4 linked regions of the Neodiprion lecontei genome follow. Each later gene encodes a partner of the first gene's protein in a complex. Links are inferred from orthologs where the notes say so. Each region holds a gene or a part of one and is shown on either strand. Other genes may lie near its edges. The genes, in order: probable small nuclear ribonucleoprotein E, serine-threonine kinase receptor-associated protein, thioredoxin-like protein 4A and protein crooked neck.

Evidence for each region.
Region 2: probable small nuclear ribonucleoprotein E (region 1) and serine-threonine kinase receptor-associated protein share a complex: the UniProt entries of both Homo sapiens proteins name them as parts of the SMN-Sm complex. The link is inferred for Neodiprion lecontei from reciprocal best matches to the Homo sapiens genes SNRPE and STRAP.
Region 3: probable small nuclear ribonucleoprotein E (region 1) and thioredoxin-like protein 4A share a complex: the UniProt entries of both Homo sapiens proteins name them as parts of the U4/U6-U5 tri-snRNP complex. The link is inferred for Neodiprion lecontei from reciprocal best matches to the Homo sapiens genes SNRPE and TXNL4A.
Region 4: probable small nuclear ribonucleoprotein E (region 1) and protein crooked neck share a complex: the UniProt entries of both Homo sapiens proteins name them as parts of the minor spliceosome. The link is inferred for Neodiprion lecontei from reciprocal best matches to the Homo sapiens genes SNRPE and CRNKL1.

Annotation. Positions count from the first base shown.
Region 1 is NC_060262.1:5,978,321-5,981,405, reverse strand, and holds probable small nuclear ribonucleoprotein E, read left to right. Parts: upstream 1-1,721; 5' UTR 1,722-1,852; coding exon 1,853-2,137; 3' UTR 2,138-2,559; downstream 2,560-3,085. UniProt on the Homo sapiens protein: Plays a role in pre-mRNA splicing as a core component of the spliceosomal U1, U2, U4 and U5 small nuclear ribonucleoproteins (snRNPs), the building blocks of the spliceosome.
Region 2 is NC_060261.1:3,933,946-3,940,232, reverse strand, and holds serine-threonine kinase receptor-associated protein, read left to right. Parts: upstream 1-1,801; 5' UTR 1,802-2,290; coding exon 2,291-2,408; exon of another isoform or gene 2,409-2,475; intron 2,476-2,539; exon of another isoform or gene 2,540-2,803; intron 2,804-2,896; exon of another isoform or gene 2,897-2,944; intron 2,945-3,181; coding exon 3,182-3,480; intron 3,481-3,570; coding exon 3,571-3,800; exon of another isoform or gene 3,801-3,853; intron 3,854-3,988; exon of another isoform or gene 3,989-4,175; intron 4,176-4,381; exon of another isoform or gene 4,382-4,404; coding exon 4,405-4,541; intron 4,542-4,893; coding exon 4,894-5,102; 3' UTR 5,103-5,734; downstream 5,735-6,287. UniProt on the Homo sapiens protein: The SMN complex catalyzes the assembly of small nuclear ribonucleoproteins (snRNPs), the building blocks of the spliceosome, and thereby plays an important role in the splicing of cellular pre-mRNAs.
Region 3 is NC_060265.1:6,864,988-6,868,263, reverse strand, and holds thioredoxin-like protein 4A, read left to right. Parts: upstream 1-1,898; coding exon 1,899-2,021; intron 2,022-2,106; coding exon 2,107-2,243; intron 2,244-2,331; coding exon 2,332-2,545; 3' UTR 2,546-2,724; downstream 2,725-3,276. Other genes in the region: hsc70-interacting protein, read right to left, coding at 342-754, 839-1,112. UniProt on the Homo sapiens protein: Plays a role in pre-mRNA splicing as component of the U5 snRNP and U4/U6-U5 tri-snRNP complexes that are involved in spliceosome assembly, and as component of the precatalytic spliceosome (spliceosome B complex).
Region 4 is NC_060265.1:25,631,302-25,637,142, reverse strand, and holds protein crooked neck, read left to right. Parts: upstream 1-1,698; 5' UTR 1,699-1,876; coding exon 1,877-1,912; intron 1,913-2,064; coding exon 2,065-2,154; intron 2,155-2,232; coding exon 2,233-2,393; intron 2,394-2,494; coding exon 2,495-2,691; intron 2,692-2,806; coding exon 2,807-3,108; intron 3,109-3,220; coding exon 3,221-3,335; intron 3,336-3,454; coding exon 3,455-3,630; intron 3,631-3,713; coding exon 3,714-3,926; intron 3,927-4,008; coding exon 4,009-4,155; intron 4,156-4,235; coding exon 4,236-4,312; intron 4,313-4,439; coding exon 4,440-4,557; intron 4,558-4,665; coding exon 4,666-4,926; intron 4,927-5,047; coding exon 5,048-5,218; 3' UTR 5,219-5,305; downstream 5,306-5,841. Other genes in the region: uncharacterized protein LOC124294976, read right to left, coding at 502-549. UniProt on the Homo sapiens protein: Involved in pre-mRNA splicing process. As a component of the minor spliceosome, involved in the splicing of U12-type introns in pre-mRNAs.

The sequences.
Region 1 (3,085 bases):
GCGTGCCAGGGATTCGGAGAGAAAAAGAGTGAGTGAGTGAGTGAGAGAAAGAAGGGAAGATCGAGGGCGACGGCTAAAAAGGTGACATTCTTGAGTCCCCATCAATCTTCATTATTTTAATCTCGATGTATGGGCAAGAAGTGGTATCTGCACTATATATTATATATACGTGTACATGTATTACGGCTTCGCCGATACGGTTGGACGCGAAGGAAAGAGAAGGATAGAGCAAGGGGGAGAGATTTCATCCGGCATCGTTAGGCGTGAGTGAAATGTCGTTCCATGTCACTACCGTTAAACCTTAATCCTTTACGTGCCAGAAATTCGTAAAGCTCTTCTGTATAATTTCAGGCGATATGCGCATGCCGTAGTTGTAGGTATATAAGGCATTCTTGTATGAGTAAATATATATAATACATGTCCGGAGGTTAAAAGGTCTTTGTTTTCCGAGTGTCACAGGTCACGTAATGCTACGTTTAGCAGTAGGTATTGTTGCGCAGTATTCGTGGAGTTGCCTCTGATTCCACCAGCGTGAATCAAAGTTGAATGTTCAGCAGAAAGGTCGCGTATTACACTGTGGATGGAATACGCGTTGTGATTTATTGTATTCGCCACGTTGTTCAAATCGTTGTGGATAACGAATGGCAAAGCGATGTCATTGAGAAATTGAACATTTTTTATGTAGAAAAAAGTTACTTTTCTTCATATTTTCAGTAACGTGATTTATTTTGACATTTCGTTTAACTGTTTTTAAGTCGTTGCAAAAATGATCAGCTTCACATTTAACCGTTATTTTACGACAGAGTCAAAATAATTGTGTTGCAAAAAATTTGTGCGAAGAAATCTGAAAACTGGAACACATTTCTCTGTTCAATAAATAATTTTCACGAATCGCAGTTTTACAATTTTGACAAATATTTACTTGCACGAAAAAGTATTTACTTTTTGGACTAAGAATCCATGAAATTAAACTTACGTCATTTGCCAAATATTAACAATACGTATTTCGAAAATTTGCTTAGTCATGTGGACATTGAATTTTCAGATTTCCCATAAATTTGCAGCATAATATGGATATCTAATTAACATTTTTTTCACGAAATTCATGTACAATCACAATTTTTGGCTAGCTATCAAAAAGAAATACACAAATCTACAATGAAATTAAGAAAATTATTATATTTTTACAAAATGCTCATTTCTTGCTCATTTTCACCATATAAAAGTAACGTAATCGGTTACAACCATTCAAAAACGACTCATTGAAACGTTTTACATGCAACCATGTATTTTTTATTAAGTATAAATTGTTATTTGTCAGTTGATATCAATAAATTTCCATTAATAGATCGCTTGAATGAAGAAATTTTTATTAATAAAAAATTTCGTGAAATCTATTCAAATTTTAGCGCGTCGCGGTCATAAAATATAAAAGCATATGGCCGCTTTCCTTTTACGTCAATTTTCTGACACAACACAACACCAATTCATTTTATTGGCGTATTCCGTTAGATTCGACCAATGAAATCCCTTGACGTCGAGTTGTGTCAGAAAATCGACGTAAGATAACATTCCAAACTCGGCGACGATGCAACGATCCTTTATATCAACCGTAGTGTTGCTGCGCTAGTTCGACATGCTTCCACCAAACGGTGCGGCGTCACTTGCCGACGGGATTAAATAGCTTAAATTGAAAAAGTGCCGCCAGGCTCATCGCGGCGGCCATATTCGTTATTCAGATCCCAGCATACAACGCGTCGTGGTTTACGCGGTATCAACGTATCGGCCGAATTTGTTTAAAACTGAAGCTTACGCTTAAAAAAGTGACGGGCAATCTCAAAGACTCGCAAAAATGTCGTACAAAGGACCGCCAAAGGTGCAGAAGGTTATGGTGCAGCCGATAAACCTGATATTTCGATATCTGCAGAATCGCTCCCGAGTACAAGTCTGGCTCTTTGAAAACATCAACCTGAGGATCGAGGGTCACATTGTCGGTTTTGACGAGTACATGAATCTCGTCCTTGACGATGCCGAGGAGTATCACGTCAAAACGAAGAACAGAAAACAGCTGGGTAGGATAATGCTGAAGGGGGACAACATCACCCTTATTCAGAATACGAACCCCGGTGCGAACTAGAACGGGAAGAGAGAGCGGCAACATAACCTATCCTAACCTAAAAAATTAGAAACCGGCGCGCGCGGCGCGCATCGTTGGAAGTTCGGAGACAAGAACGACGGGAAAGAAGAGCGGCGAAGAGCGAAATTTGCTCAGGGTCGAAACCGTCGACGAACAAAGAACGCGACCACTTGTAATTTAAATAGTTTTAAAGCTTAGGATTAGGGCACAGTGTTTAATTGAATTTGTATTATTTCATTCCGATTCAGAACGAGTCGACTCATCTAGCATATTAACTTACTATGTACTCATCGAAATAATCAAATTGTAATATGCATATTTGCAAAAGTTTCAAATCAAGTATATAATATCTCTCTTTCTCGCTGTGATCAAATTCTCATCGCCTCGACTCGTTGTGTTCAATAAAAACAGTACAAATTTCACGTTGCGTGTGTTTATTCCTAGACTTATTTTATACCTGTTTTTTATCTACCTATTCTTTTACCTGAATCACTGATCGATTATTGTTTAAGGATTTAACAACACTGTACAAAAATCCAACTCCGTCGACTCGAGTCGCCTCTTAGTTAAAGAGGATATTCGAATTCTATGTCTTGTTCCATGCTTACCCGCACTTTGCTATGTACTCTAAGTCGCAATCGATCGAGCTTATTTGCACAGTTTAAAGTTACCTAAGTTGCTTGAAATCTTGAAATGTTACGTACGAAATTTCCATATTGGCAGCCAAATGAGTTTTCTATCAAAGATAGTCAATCAGAACTTTGTGTAGGTCCTTTTCTAGATACTCATGTGTCAGCAAAAAATAGAGGATTCAGGAGACGAAAGCATTCTAACAAATTGTAAATAATTGCTGACTGACAGAAAAATATTCATATCGAACTTCGAAATCCTAGGTTTCAAACAAAAGTGAGCAAAGACAGCATTTTTGTTCACTTAATTAACATGTAT
Region 2 (6,287 bases), on another chromosome or scaffold:
ATAATTTCTGTAATAAAATAGGTGTGCGAGGGAATAATTTTTCATCGATTTACGAATTACGATTTTTCAATTTACGATACATGAAGTATATTTTTTATGACCGTTAATTAACGCTGGGTCTCAGATTCACCCAAGTTATCAGCGAGCGCGAAACTCATGTATAAAATTTGCACGTGTATCGGTGTGTTTTAATTAATATGAAGAACCTCGCAAAGAGTTTCTATCGGCGTGAAGTCAGCCACCCCCCTCTGCATATATTTCTGCAATCTGCTGATACAAATATATATCCTCTTTATCTAGAACATTGAGATTTAATTAAAATAGCTTGCTTTCAGTTACGCATCGATGCCTGATTCGCGATCGGATGCCACGTTTCGCGGCGCTAATTAGATTTCGTTATTATTCTACTTCGTGTTTTACTTCGACGATTAGGCAGACTTTTGGAATATTTTTTCTCCCGTAAAAATGAATAGTCATAAAAAATGACTATTGCGTGTAAATCATTTTTACTGGCGGTGATAAGAATCCATAGAACGATTCGACAGGTCATTATAGCAGATGTAGAATGACGCGTATGAATTCTTTGGATTCTCCGGCGTATGCAGTGTACGGTATATTCGCTTAATTTATATCCCAAATAACCCCGAAACCTAGTTCATTTCTCGTCTAATTTCTTGCAAATAAAGTTTCCCCGTACAGTCCTTCGAAATGAAGAACATTCTTCACTGGCCCGCGGGATATCAATGTCACCGTAATTTTCCGGCCATTCAAATTAAACCCGTTTTCACGCTGACTCGCATTTCAACCCTTGAAATTTTAGAGGCGAGGGGAACCGGAAAAATGATAGGCTTATATTCTCATGTCTTGAGTGAAATCTCTTTAATGCGAACTGCACATGTACGTACATTTTCTCTGTAGTAAATGAAATAGAACTTTTTAATTCTATTTTTAAAGATACATCGGACTGAATAAAATTAAGGAGAACATCTACCCTCGAGTGAATTCTTTCATTTACCTTCCGATCCTAATTTTTTTCGTTATTTTCGTATTATTCATACTATGGACGGTTGTAAATGCGCAAAAAAATCATTTACAATCATCTGCAAGATTGATATTGCATGCAATCGTTTAAAGACCGTCCCTGATCAACCTTATAAGTAATACTTCTTGCACAATTGCAACGTCATTCATCATTCTAGCGAAAAAATACCAAAGATATTTAGAAGATAATTCCAAATCTTTTTTTTAAATATTCTTACACGTACTGAATGCCTTGAAGAACTAGGCATACATTTTTCTAGGATATAACAAACGACTGCAACGCTATCATTTAATTCTTTAAAAACAGTCTTGCGTTAGTCATTTTCAAAGTGCTGTAACACCTTCCTAAATGAATACAAATAATTGTTTAAGGATTCTGAATAATCGCCTATAAAATGCTTGTAAAGTTTGAAGAAAAAATCCGAAAGTATACAAGTCCATTTTCTAAATTTTTTTTTGTTTTTACGGATTGGGGCTCCTGCAGGCAGACAACTGGTATTACTGTCCGCGTTAATGTATATATGGTTGCTAGGTTCCAGGGGTAGCGACCAACTTCGAACTTTCATAATTCTAATCTGGTAAACTTTTTCTCATTAAATCCAGACCTGATCGTGTGTACACGAGTACCATAAACCGGAGCAGAAAATTACCGGAACAAGTTCGCCTTGGGATGCATTATAATCATTGCAGATTCGTTATTTAAAAATGTCACGTTCGAAAACAGCCGAGTCGCACAAAGAGGCTGCCCTGACAGCGTCCTTTCGCGTTGTGTGTGCGCGTCGCGATCTGCGTTTTACTACCGGTTAAAAAATAAAAGACATAGAAGTTGCAGTGTGGGGCGTCAAGTTTGGATAGAAATTTCATGGTCGGTCCATGAAAGCGTCGTCGTTGCACTTCGCAGTTGCAGGGAGGACTGGCGGCCATGATTTCCTGGCCAAAGACCCTGAAGTCTGAACTTGGCTGCGTATCGCGTCGAGTCGAGTCGAGTCGTCAGTCAGTCGGTCAGATCGTTTCGATTATTACCACCGACTACGGGCTTCAAGAATAAGAGACAAGATAGTAAACGTCTACGAGCGTCAAGACGGCGAAGCATCGTGTGCGAGAGGCCGTTGCGTCTCCACAACGAGGAATCGGCGCCGAAAAATACAAAAAAACTTCCAGTAAACTTAACTCTCGTCATTGTGCGTTGATATTTAGTGCGCGCTTTACGGCGACAGCGTGCGTTTCATATCAACACGTTAAAATATAAATGATGGCGAATTTGAGGCAGACACCGTTAACCTGTAGCGGGCATACGAGACCCGTCGTTCATCTAGCCTTTTCCGATGTTACGGAGTCCGGCTACTACCTAATTTCGGCGTGCAAAGGTAAGGATAAATAACGCCTCGATTACGCGCTTATGCGCTTCCGAATCCACTCATTTCTCCCGTCAATCTGGAATTGAATTATTTCTTCATCGTCATATTTCGCCTTTTCGTTAGACACTCTTAGGTTTTACCTGTCATTTATGCCTGTTTTTTCGCAAAATTCCTCTTCTTCCTCAATTCCTTACCCCTCCTCTTCTCCTCCTCTTCAAACAATGTTTTATTTTTTTTTCCCTCTTTCACGCTTTGGCTGTCCATTCCATTCTGGTTCGCCTTGGCCTAGTTTCAAACGATATGCCCAAGGCCCAGGCTACACTCGTGTACAGAGGCACATGCACAAGGTGCACATGGACGCTGCACGCTTTATGCTACAAGCTTTATCAGCGTGTCGGCGAATTCTTGTTGCCAATGAGAAAAAATCAATAAATTAGAAATAAGTTCGATAGAAAAATTTTACAGCCTCATAGCTGAGCGTACCGATTCCTACCTACCTATTGTCGCCAGACGTGTCGCATGCGGGATCATCCCTCACATCTACGGTGTCTGACCCCGAACTAAACCTTAGAAATGCATGCCTAATAATCCCACTCCCCCACCTCTCTCAACGTCGTCTCTATTTTGTATAGAAGAAATTACCACTATATGGCTAAAATCTAGGATATATCATCGTAGTACACATTGACAAACATTCTAGTGAGCCGAATATTTGTAAAATGGGAAGAAAAATGAGTATATGAATATGTCAGCGGTAACAAAATATGAATAATTATTTACAGATGGAAAGCCGATGCTGCGGCAGGGCGACACTGGGGATTGGATCGGCACGTTTGAGGGGCACAAAGGGGCAGTGTGGGGTGTCGCTTTGAACCCACAGGCCACCAGAGCAGCTACAGGCGCTGCGGACTTCAATGCCAAGGTGTGGGACGCGATAAAGGGTGAAGAAATTCACTCCTTTCAGCACAAGCATATAGTTAAGTCTGTCAACTTCAGTTCTGACTCAAATTACCTGTGTACTGGTTCCAATGAAAAGCTAGTCAAAATCTACGATCTAAACAAGCCGGAAGCAACGCCGCAAGTGAGTATAAATTTGTTTGGAATATAAAAATCCAAAGACAATTGGGAAAGTATAACTTGACTACTAATTACGTATTTTATTACCCTGCAGATATTTTCCGGTCACACTAGTGGCATAAGGCATGTAACTTTTTTCAAAAATGATACCGCTTTGGTTACCTGTGCCGATGACAAAAGCCTGCGTTTGTGGGATAGAAACAGCGGGCAAGAAGTGAAAAGACTCGATTTTCCAGCTACACCCAGCTCGATGGAAGTCTCCAGAGATGGCAACATCATTACGACAACTCATTCTAACGTCGTCACGTTTTGGGATAGCAAAGAGTGAGTATTAACCCTCTCTCCGCCCGACTTGGATTCCAAGTTCAATTATAATTCTGCATCGCCGATTGTCGTATGAAAAAAAGTAAATAATCTCTGAGGCAGTCAACAACGCAAGAAATTCCGATTTGCAGCCGTTGAATATTGTAGATTTCATCGGCTCAGAAAAGATTAGAGGTAACGGTACATACCTAACATGAACTTTCATTGCGCTGTATCGAGTGCAACAGGAACAGAGGTATTTGCCATGAAAGATATCCAGCCATTTATGGATGTACAAGGTCTGGTTCCGTGCCAGAGTGGACAGTTTTTACTTTCAAATAATGAAGACCATTTTACTTCCTGATCAGCAATGTCCCTGGCTTGAACAGCCATGGCCTAGAAGGAAGTTGGGCTCTTGTACATTTATTTTCATCTCCTGGTAAAGAGAACTACTTGCAATTGGCACAGGCAACTTGTTTACAACACGAGGAAGGAGAATAATGCATCGGCATTACTCGTTTTCTTTTTTTTTTTCATCTGCCATTTCTTCCAGAATTAGCAGAAAAAATATTGCTGCATTGAAAAGTTTGTATCCTACTCACCTGACTCGATTTGTTGATTGCAGGTTGACCAAGATCCGAGAGTTTATTGTTCCTACTCAAGTGAACAGCGCAAGTTTACATCCAGACTGCAGCATATTTGTATGCGGAGGAGAAGATCTGAAAATGTACAAATTCGATTACAGCACTGGAGCAGAAATCGGTACGGTATTTAACATTTATCAATGTTCCTACTTTACTTCATAAAATTCTTCCCTAAGCGTATAAGTACATTTTCTGTTTACCTACACTCATTATTCATTCTCGCAGCAGCAAACCGCAATTAGTAATTCTCTCATCAGCCAACAACGGAATGACAATACAGAACTGAGGTCACAGCATGCAGCATGCCTGGGCGTTTATAATATAAGGCCATTCTTAAGAGGCTTCAATCCTGTGCCTTATTTCCCCTTGAACTTCGTGCATTTAACTGATTTTTAGAAAAATTCTTCATAGTTTATAGTGACGAAATTTTTCCTCACGATGTGGTGTTTTTTATTTTTTTATGTTTACAGAATCTTTCAAGGGACATTTTGGGCCTGTTCACTGCGTTCGGTTTTCTCCGGATGGTGAATTATACGCGAGCGGATCTGAGGATGGGACGCTGAGGCTTTGGCAAACTACCGTTGGAAAAACCTACGGCCTATGGCGTTGTATCGAACAAACTCCAATGATTCCAGAAAATGCTGTACTCAATAACAAGCAAGAGGTCTCGGCAAGCTAAACGCCATATCTCAATTCATACCTCAGATGATAGTCTTGACCGTTAGATTATTCCAGGATGAATTTTGACGCGGGGATAAACGTCTGGCAACAATAAAAATTCCAAATTCCGTGATAACAGACGCGCGAAATCCTTCAAAATAAATTTTAGAAGAAAACCAAATTATATATCTAATTAATTTGAAGGTTGGTGTCTTCGGAATTGAAAATTTGCTCGTCATCATCAAGCATAAAAGTGTGAAATAGGAGAATATGAAAAATGAACGTTGAGAAACTTGTATTTGTTGGAATAAGTTTCATAATATTCCAAAGCTCTTGGTTGCGTTTGAATATGTTCTCAAGATTTACAGTTATCGCAATCTTAAAAGTTTATTGAACAACCATCAAGCTTCTTTTCAGATTTTACTCATCTCGATATCGTTTCTATTAGAACGGCTTTTCCTAAAGAGCTGAGCGGAAAAGCGATTAAGAAGCAAAAGTGACCTTACGTTAATTCGTGTCATATCGGTGACTCTGTATGAGAAGCTTTTGAACTACGAGTTTGTATTTATTAATTTTTTTCACTTGAATGAGACATGCAGTATAGTTATAATGCCATATAAACTATATTGTACACCTTTTTTTTCAAAAGCAGAAAAATAAAAGAAAATTAAAAAAATTTCCCGTATCGAAGGATAATTCAAACTGTATTTTCGCTTGGGGAAGCTTATGAAGAAATCTTCTGTACATAATATTCATGCTCATATTTATAAGGTCCCGAAAATATAGTTGTAATAATCGTTCGTCTGTACGTTTTTTTTTCTTAAGCACCTCAATGATCTATAAAAAGATGTGAAATAAAAAAGTCTAATAAACAACTGAATCAGCTAAATCATCCTAATCATTGAATTATATTCGTCGTTATGCGTTCGTTAGGGATCTGAATTTTTTTTTTTCATTATCAAGAATACTGTACGAGAATAACATTACTTCCGAATCGTATACGTCCAAAATACAATATGTTACAGTCGAATGAAATCGTATTACATGATGATGAACCGAATAAAGACGAAACTATTACCTGTGTATTTTAGAAAAAAATAATAATTAAAATTTATTATTAATATACACATACACGTGATATCATATCTATGTGTATAGTGTTACTATGAGAATTTGTAGCGGCTTATAGCTATGCGTGTGTATA
Region 3 (3,276 bases), on another chromosome or scaffold:
CTCAAGCTTATGCGATATATCATTCACTCGCACGCGGGTAAAAAGTAGCAGAAAATCAGATTCAATAGATTGGCACATTGTGTATACATTGAAATACAATTCGCTTCTTTTTCAGATACGCGACATAAAAATATCACCAGTAAACATTGGCCGAAAGGATATATTTCTCATTTGTCCTATTTTTTGTTACGCTTTGAGGGATAAATATTCACCGGTACTTTAATCATTGTTACAAACTTTGGACACAAAGCTTAAAAAGTTGAGTGATGCTATTCCTAATGTCAAATCACAGTGAGCCTGAAAAGTTGTAAAAGTGAAATGTTAAAGTAGTTATTACTTACATTAGGAGTAACTTCTCGCAGCCATTCATCAGCTTGTTCATCAAAATCGATTTTGCAAGCTAGACGAAGGTCGTTGGCAGCCTCCTCCCATTTTCCAAGTAATCTGTAAGCACGTCCCCTGAACTTGTGCGCGGCAGCACTATCTGGATTTATTTCAAGAGCACGATCACAATCGCGGATACAAGCATTGGGTTTGTTGAGCATCAAGTACAGTTGCCCGCGCTTTGCATACAGCAAAGAAGCTTGAGGGTTCAGTACAATAGCCTCTGTGTACAAAGACAGCGCCTTTTCATAGTTATTTTCGACAAAAGCGGACACTGCTTCGGAACGCTTTGCCTGAGACTCGGCCACTTCTTCCTCAGTTGGCTGAAGAGTAGGATTACCCATTTTCTGTGGGGCGTCTGTATCCGGTTCTAAAAATTAGATTTATTCGTTTGAAAATAACAAAACGGCTTCACAAGCTCAATAAATTAGAAAAAGAAATGACCAAATCTCACCGATGACACCAGTCGTATCAAGTTCGATATCACTTTCATCAGATTCCGGAGCTGGCTCAGGCTCAGGAATATTCGACTGGGCGGGTTGAGGTTTAAATTTCGGATACCCCGAGGTGTTGCTGCTTTTGGTATCTGGGACACTACCTCCGAAATGTTCGATGAAAGTTTTGACAAACGCGAGGTCCGGGAGGTGCAGGATCGAAGGGTTTTCAATGCACAAATCGGTGAACACTTTCAATTGAGCTAGATGCTCTTTACTGACAGGAGCAGCCATTTCGATATCTTTCTGGATAAGAAAATTTGTGAGTTAGAATCTGTAAGCTAACAATGTTGATGAGATTTTTCAACGATTTATATTGTCGTTTAACAGATCATTCATAATTGACATGTTTACCGAATAGTGTGTACAGCGAATCTAGAAAATTCCAATTGAAAAACCTTGACACATACGTATGCACGAATATTTGGTACCTATAAAAATCATTGTCCGAATGAACTAGGTGTCAAAATTACAAATGATCATCAATTTAGCACAGAGAAATGAATATTCAGAATAATCAAATATCGTCATAATATCACCAGGTCAACCGGTCTAACCGGCGTTGATAACAAACAGTCGTGACTCGTAAAAAATGCGGTCGTAACAAGATTCGTAAGCCCGTATAAAAATTACAGCGTGAATGTAGACTATTGAATCTCAAAAATACATTAATATTTTACAATTACGTGATTAAGCGTCGTTTATTACCTTGTTCACGGTGCGATGCGCAGTACTTATTTTACTTCAATCACAACAAAATGTGCGAAAAAAAAACGTCAGCAACTCACCTTCTTGAAGGCAGTGGAAGGTTGGTGGCTATCGAATGCTACACCGGCACATTTGAGAACGCAAACGCAGTTATCGTTGCAAGTTAACGCCGCTAGGGTCGCTAGTGCCTTGATGTGCTATATGTGTGCCACTGTAATTTGACGTTTCTGTACGTGTAAATATTTATTTTTCCCAGTTGTACGCAAATTGGGATTTAATTAATTACAAGAATAAATCAAACACCTTATAAAAATGTCGTATATGCTGGGTCACCTTCACAATGGATGGCAAGTGGATCAGGCAATTTTATCAGAAGAGGACCGAGTGGTCGTAAGTTCACGTCATCATAACCTAAAAATTCAGTCGTACAAAATCGTATGTTAATTACACATAACTAAGTTTAGTTGCTCACTTTTTTTTTTACATTTAATACGAACCGTCCTACTTCGATTTCTTTCAGGTGATCAGATTTGGCCACGATTGGGATCCAATGTGTATGAAAATGGATGAAGTCCTCTACAATATTGCAGAAAAAGTAAAAAACTTTGCAGTCATTTATCTAGTCGATATAACAGAGGTCCCAGACTTTAATAAAATGTAAGTATAACACTCTGCTGCTATAATATTTTCTTCAGTACTTCGCAAAGCTTCAGAATAATAACCACAGAATTTTTCTGAACTGTAGGTATGAGTTGTACGATCCATGCACGGTCATGTTCTTCTTCAGAAACAAGCATATAATGATTGATTTAGGCACTGGAAACAATAATAAAATCAATTGGACTTTAGAAGACAAACAGGAAATGATCGATATCATCGAAACGGTTTATCGGGGCGCTAGAAAAGGCAGAGGTTTGGTTGTTTCGCCAAAAGATTATTCAACAAAGTATCGCTATTAATTACATTATGCAGCAAAAAGATTTGAATATATGTTTCGAATATATGATGTTGTTTTACATTAAAACATAAATTAATCATCATTAGTTGTATACAGCTTAGGTATTATTTAACAGTTACAGAATGATGATGAATTTGTACCGTCACATGTAAATAAACTGAAATTTTTCATTTAAATTTATTTCTGGATCTGTCTTTATACCGCTTTTATGCCGTTTTTATACCAATTTAACGAAACTTAGCCGATACCTGGTAAAAATAGTTTAGCTCTATTCAAATCTTTTGTAATTATTTAATAAAAATATTAAACATCAGTTCCAAATATAGATTATCTTAACGTTAAACTATGTACAATATATTGATGCAATACATTTTCCACATCTTATCTACAAAGGCCACTGTTATTTCCATCATCTTATTCAGTACGTCCAATAACGGAGTATAAAATTGTTAAAATTTTCATCTTTGGTACATTATTCGTGTATTATCACACTTGAATGATGGCACATCCTCAGTTGTAAGGACATAACAAAAACTAACCAAGATTACCAATAAATAATAAAAATAACCATCGAAGCAATAAAACGCGACATAGCAACTTATGTTCCAATGTCCAGTTAGTTGTTTCAATTATGAGTATAAGTATAGTTAGAAACAAGATGGCAGTAAGAATTTCTTCATGAATTCAAATAATAAATACTCTCGAATGTAATTTGAAATGTGAAATGCAATG
Region 4 (5,841 bases), on another chromosome or scaffold:
GTGCATACAGATGGCATAGCGTACAACTAATTTTCGAGATATTCTGAACAGTAAATGGGGGTCGGTTACCGATTGGCAGTCTACCGTGCCATGCCATAAAACCAGTTGATGATACAAAGAGTATATTTACCATAGCGAAGTGCCCCTGTAGTGATAAAAATTGAGCAAATCACAATTACTGCAGCATTAATTTCTTATTAGCAAACTTTGTACACTTTGAATTGACGGTAAAATATTGTCAATATTATCATAATTTGAGGTCGTTTCAGTACGCAGCATTCTAGTCTGACTTCACGACCAAGATTGACTACAAGTTTTTTGTATCGTTTCATTGTGAGTTAATTTCGGTACTCCACGTTTTTACTTAGAGTTTTTATATTTAAAATGTTTTTAGTCCGGATATGTATTTACCGGGATTTACTCTGATTAAACTAAGAAAATCCAAGTTCATCACGATTCCATACGCGCTATAGAATATTAAAATATCAGTTTTGTACTCACAATTAGGAGATGAGATCGGATTTTAGCAGGATCTGTGACCGGTGCCATCTCTGTATAAACAATCGACGATCGACAAACAATCCAGGTGACGCCACAAAAACTTCACGGTCGAATTTTCGCGTGCACTCCTACCGAAAGTATTCATAATTACCAGAGTGAAAGACGTATTGTGCAAAACGTTTGTCATTGTTTTACTTTTCTTAATTCCATACGCGTTATAGAATATTAAAGCATCAGTTTTGTACTCACAATTAGGAGATGCAATCAGATTCTAGCGGGATCTGTGACCGGTGGCATCTCTGGATAAACAATCGACGATCGACAAACAATTCAGGTGACGTCACAAAAACTTAACGGTCGAATTTTCGCGAACACTCCTATCGAAAGTATTCGTCGTTACCAGTGAAAAACGTATTGTGCAAAAAAATTGCCATTGTTTTACTTTGTATTTGTGACTCGTTACGTGGTGAGATTCCTACGGTGTATAATCGAGCAACTGACACCGCGAAGGCTCTGCAGCTATTGAAATCTTCCGTTTGGAGTTTGGCTCGTTGTGGCGTGAACTCGGGTAAGATTCGAAATTACTTATTTTACTCATTCCCCGATGTTTTTGTACCCAGTTTTTGCAGTCAAAATGTTCGACACGATCGAGCGCAGTGTTATTTCAAACTGAAATTTGACCGAATTTCGAATCTTTGTAAGAATTATTCTATCATCTAACAATAAGATTTGTTTCTGGACACGTTTCGTTACCCACGGTCTTTAGCGAGAGCGGTATAATCAATTGTCAGCCGTGTTCTGCGAAACTGTTACATGTGCCGTCTCATATATTTTTCAATCTGATTTTTATAAACGTATTACAATTTCACAATGGACGATATTGGCAGAGCCATTTCGAAAAAATTGAACATACATGATGCAGCGTAATTATACACATATCTCTAGTCTTTACTCTTCAGGTGTTAATTAATTAATATTTCGGGGTTTGATTTTTCATCGGGAAGCTTTATTTTTCCTGGGCTACAGAACAATAGTGATGCAATTACAATTTTGAAAATAAATCAGCACGAGCATTCAGTTCTCCTTGAGTGTGAATTAGGTACGTTAATGTGTTGACTCTTCTTGAAAAGTTATGTTTGAAATTTTTAAGCGATCAAGTGCGTGAATTTTACGCTTAGTGATCTGAGCAGAAACTGCGTACTTTCGATACGTTCTATGATGGACGCGCTCTCACATTTTTACATCGTTCGTGACCGTGTCAACGTTTGTCGGAGCAAGTGTGTGTACTCGAAAAGAATTTGCCAAACAATAATGAAATAATAACACGTTTATGCCATAACTATTGAATTGATATCGTGAAACTAATACGTTCATCATGGAAAAGCCACAGAAAATGCCAAAAGTGGCAAAGGTAAGTTTCCCTATTATTATTTTTCGACTTTAGGTTAGGAAAGAGGTTAGTGTTTACTGCATCTAGAAAATTTTCTGATGCATTTTTCTATCACAAGCGTATAATTGTCAATGTATTAAACCGTGTATTTTGTACATCACCGATGCATCCAGGTAAAAAATAAAGCACCTGCAGAGATTCAAATCACCGCTGAACAGCTGCTCCGGGAGGCCAAGGAAAGAGACTTGGAAATATTACCACCGGTAAGTTGAGTTAAATTACCCTTGATTAAAAAAAGTTGATCAAATAAATTAATAATTTACTTTTTCATGTTCATAAAGCCACCAAAACAAAAAATCTCCGATCCACATGAGTTGGCCGATTACCAGCATCGCAAACGGAAAGCATTCGAGGACAATATACGAAAGAATCGTACGGTAATATCCAACTGGATAAAATACGCACAATGGGAAGAAAGTCAGAAGCAGATACAGAGAGCACGGTAAGCTATAACACATTAGTCGTTTAAAACATTCATGTGATATATGGTGAAATGCTAATGGTTACAAAAATTATTTTTAAACCTGTATGTTTACATTTCAGATCAATATACGAGCGTGCACTGGACGTAGATCATCGAAATATAACACTATGGTTAAAGTATACAGAAATGGAAATGCGGAATCGGCAGGTAAACCATGCCAGGAATTTATGGGACCGCGCTGTGACGATTCTGCCAAGAGCAAATCAATTCTGGTACAAATATACATACATGGAAGAAATGCTGGAAAATATTGCAGGTAATGTCTTGAAGCTTATAATCAGCATACGCAGAGAAATAACTAGATTAAATTTGATAAAGAAATGTATCACTGTGCATTTGGGTAACCAGATTGGATTTTATTTCATCCTTAGGAGCCCGCCAAGTGTTCGAACGTTGGATGGAATGGGAACCTGATGAACAGGCCTGGCAAACTTATATAAAATTTGAGTTACGATACAAAGAAATAGACCGAGCACGTTATATTTATGAACGTTTTGTTATGGTACATCCCGATGTAAAGCATTGGATAAAATATGCTAGGTTTGAAGAGACTCATGGCTTCTTAAACGGTGCTCGTAATGTATTCGAACGTGCAGTCACTTTCTATGGCGACGAAAGTTTAGATGAAAAACTGTTCGTTGCTTTTGCTAGGTTTGAGGAAGGTCAGAGAGAGGTAAGATTTGAGTTATCTGAATTTGACTTGGCGATATGTCAAGAGTGGTCTGTAGAAATAATCAGAAAAATTCACATCAAACGATGTAAATTCAAATTTTTGCAACTTTCAGCATGATCGTGCGCGAGTCATATATAAGTATGCTTTGGACCACATTCCAAAAGATCGAACTCAAGAAGTATACAAAGCTTACACGATACATGAAAAGAAATATGGTGATCGATCAGGTAATATTTTATTTTTTTTTTTTTATAATTTTCCATATGCTTTTAGAGAACTCAGTCAATTGAGGAATTTTACATGAAAAATAATTACGGTAGATTTTTAACTATTAATGAATGTACAGGTATTGAAGATGTCATTGTGAGTAAAAGAAAGCATCAGTATGAACAGGAGGTCAAAGAGAATCCATCTAATTATGACGCGTGGTTTGATTATTTACGATTAGTTGAGTCTGAAACTGATATAGACCTTGTCAGGGAAACTTATGAACGTGCAATAGCTAATGTACCGCCCACAAAGGTGAATTCAACATTGAACATGAAACATTATTTTTAACACTCAAGTACTTGGTTTAGACTACAACTTTTTATTAATATGCACAGGAAAAACAATATTGGCGAAGATATATTTACTTGTGGATAAATTACGCATTGTTTGAAGAACTCGAAACTGAGGATATAGAAAGATGTCGTCAAGTATACAGAGCCTGTCTTGAATTAATCCCACACAAGCAGTTCACATTCTCAAAAATATGGCTGCTTTATGCCCACTTTGAAATCAGACAAAAAAATTTACAAGTAGCAAGAAAAATGCTAGTAAGTGAAAAATTTTATTACGAGTATTTTATTATGAATCTAATCGGAGTTTATTTTTCTTATAGTTATCTTTCTTCAACAGGGTATGGCTCTGGGTATGTCTCCAAGAGATAAACTATTTCGAGGCTACATAGATTTGGAAATTCAACTTCGAGAGTTCGATAGATGCAGAATATTATACCAGAAGTTTCTTGAATTTGGCCCAGAGAATTGCACTACTTGGATGAAGGTTTGTATTCCTATTTCTCCTTTAGCACGACGTTCAGCAAAACAAGTGCTTGATTAATTAATTTGAAGTATTTGTTTCAGTTTGCAGAACTTGAGACTCTTCTGGGTGATGTTGATCGAGCCCGGGCAATTTATGAATTAGCAGTCACTCAACCGAGGTATGTCATGTAATTACAGTATTGTCACATAGCAATCCACAATATATATCTATTTATTTTTCATGCGATCACATAGTGTTTCATATTTTGACAAATGCTATAATCCGCTAATTGTTCTCCAAAATAGATTGGACATGCCAGAACTATTATGGAAATCATACATAGATTTCGAAATATCTCAAGAAGAAACAGAAAATGCAAGACAACTATTTGAGAGACTTTTGGAACGTACAATGCACGTTAAAGTAAGTTCTTATTTATATGAATGTATTTTATTAAACAATGATAAGCAGCAACGAGAATTTAAATTTCCTGGTACTTGGTTAAATGCTTGACAATCTTTGTTTTGACAGGTATGGATAGCGTATGCCAAGTTTGAATTGGGAAATTATGTGACAGACGATGGTCCGGATAACATAGCATTGGCACGACGTGTCTTTGAGCGAGGTAATGATGCACTGCGGACAAATGGAGATAAAGAAAGTCGTGCATTGCTTTTGGAAGCATGGCGAGACTTTGAAACTGAAAAAGGTGACGAAGATAGTCAGGCGAAAATTATGGATAAAATGCCACGGAGAATCAAAAGACGCAGACGAATCGTTGGAGATGATGGAGTAAGCGCGTTACTTATTTTTCGAGAAAGAATAATGGTTCTCATTAGATGCAAACAGTTGAATATAATCCTTATTTAGTAATAAGCTGAACTTTATACTACACAATAATTGTTTTTTACAGGCAGAAGAAGGTTGGGAGGAGGTATTTGATTTTGTTTTTCCAGAAGACGAGTCTCAGAGGCCTAATCTCAAACTATTGGCTTCTGCAAAAGCATGGAAAAAACAAAAAGAAGCTACCCAAGATACGGTTTCAAATGGTACCACAGTATTGTCAGAAACCACGCCGAGTTAACCCAATCAAATCGTTTACGATTTTTTATCTCATTGTAAATTTTTCAACTGATTGTGAATCTTGCAATAAAATGTATTTCGAAAGTAACAATTTTTGGTATGTTCAAGTGTGTAATTCACCATAGAAAATTCCCGTATCAAATTGTTTTTACGTTTCAGAAAACGTTACTGAAACCTCAAAATTTGCATTCAAATTTTCTATGCCCCTGTACGTTTCAATGTGATTTCCTGTCTGCCACCCGAATCTATACATATTATGAGCAAGGGATCGTATTTTTCGTGTACAGTTTTAGTGAAGATAGTCATAGACAATATTCAAATCCATAAGTTTTCATTCTTAAAAATCATTTAAATTACATTTATTCGTACGTATTATCAAAATTTATCAGTACATGACGAAATACTATAATACAATAATAGTGTTCCCTACTTCTCGTATCTGAAACAGAGAAATGCTGAGCACGACTCAAAGATTCATGAATTTCATATACAACATACCAATATGGTATTTGACACATATAAAAAAACATTCGCACTCGTACCTTTCGCTTAATTTCCAACATAAATTAATTGGTTATTCGAACAATCAATGTATATAAATTGTTTGAGGTCATGTAAATAGTG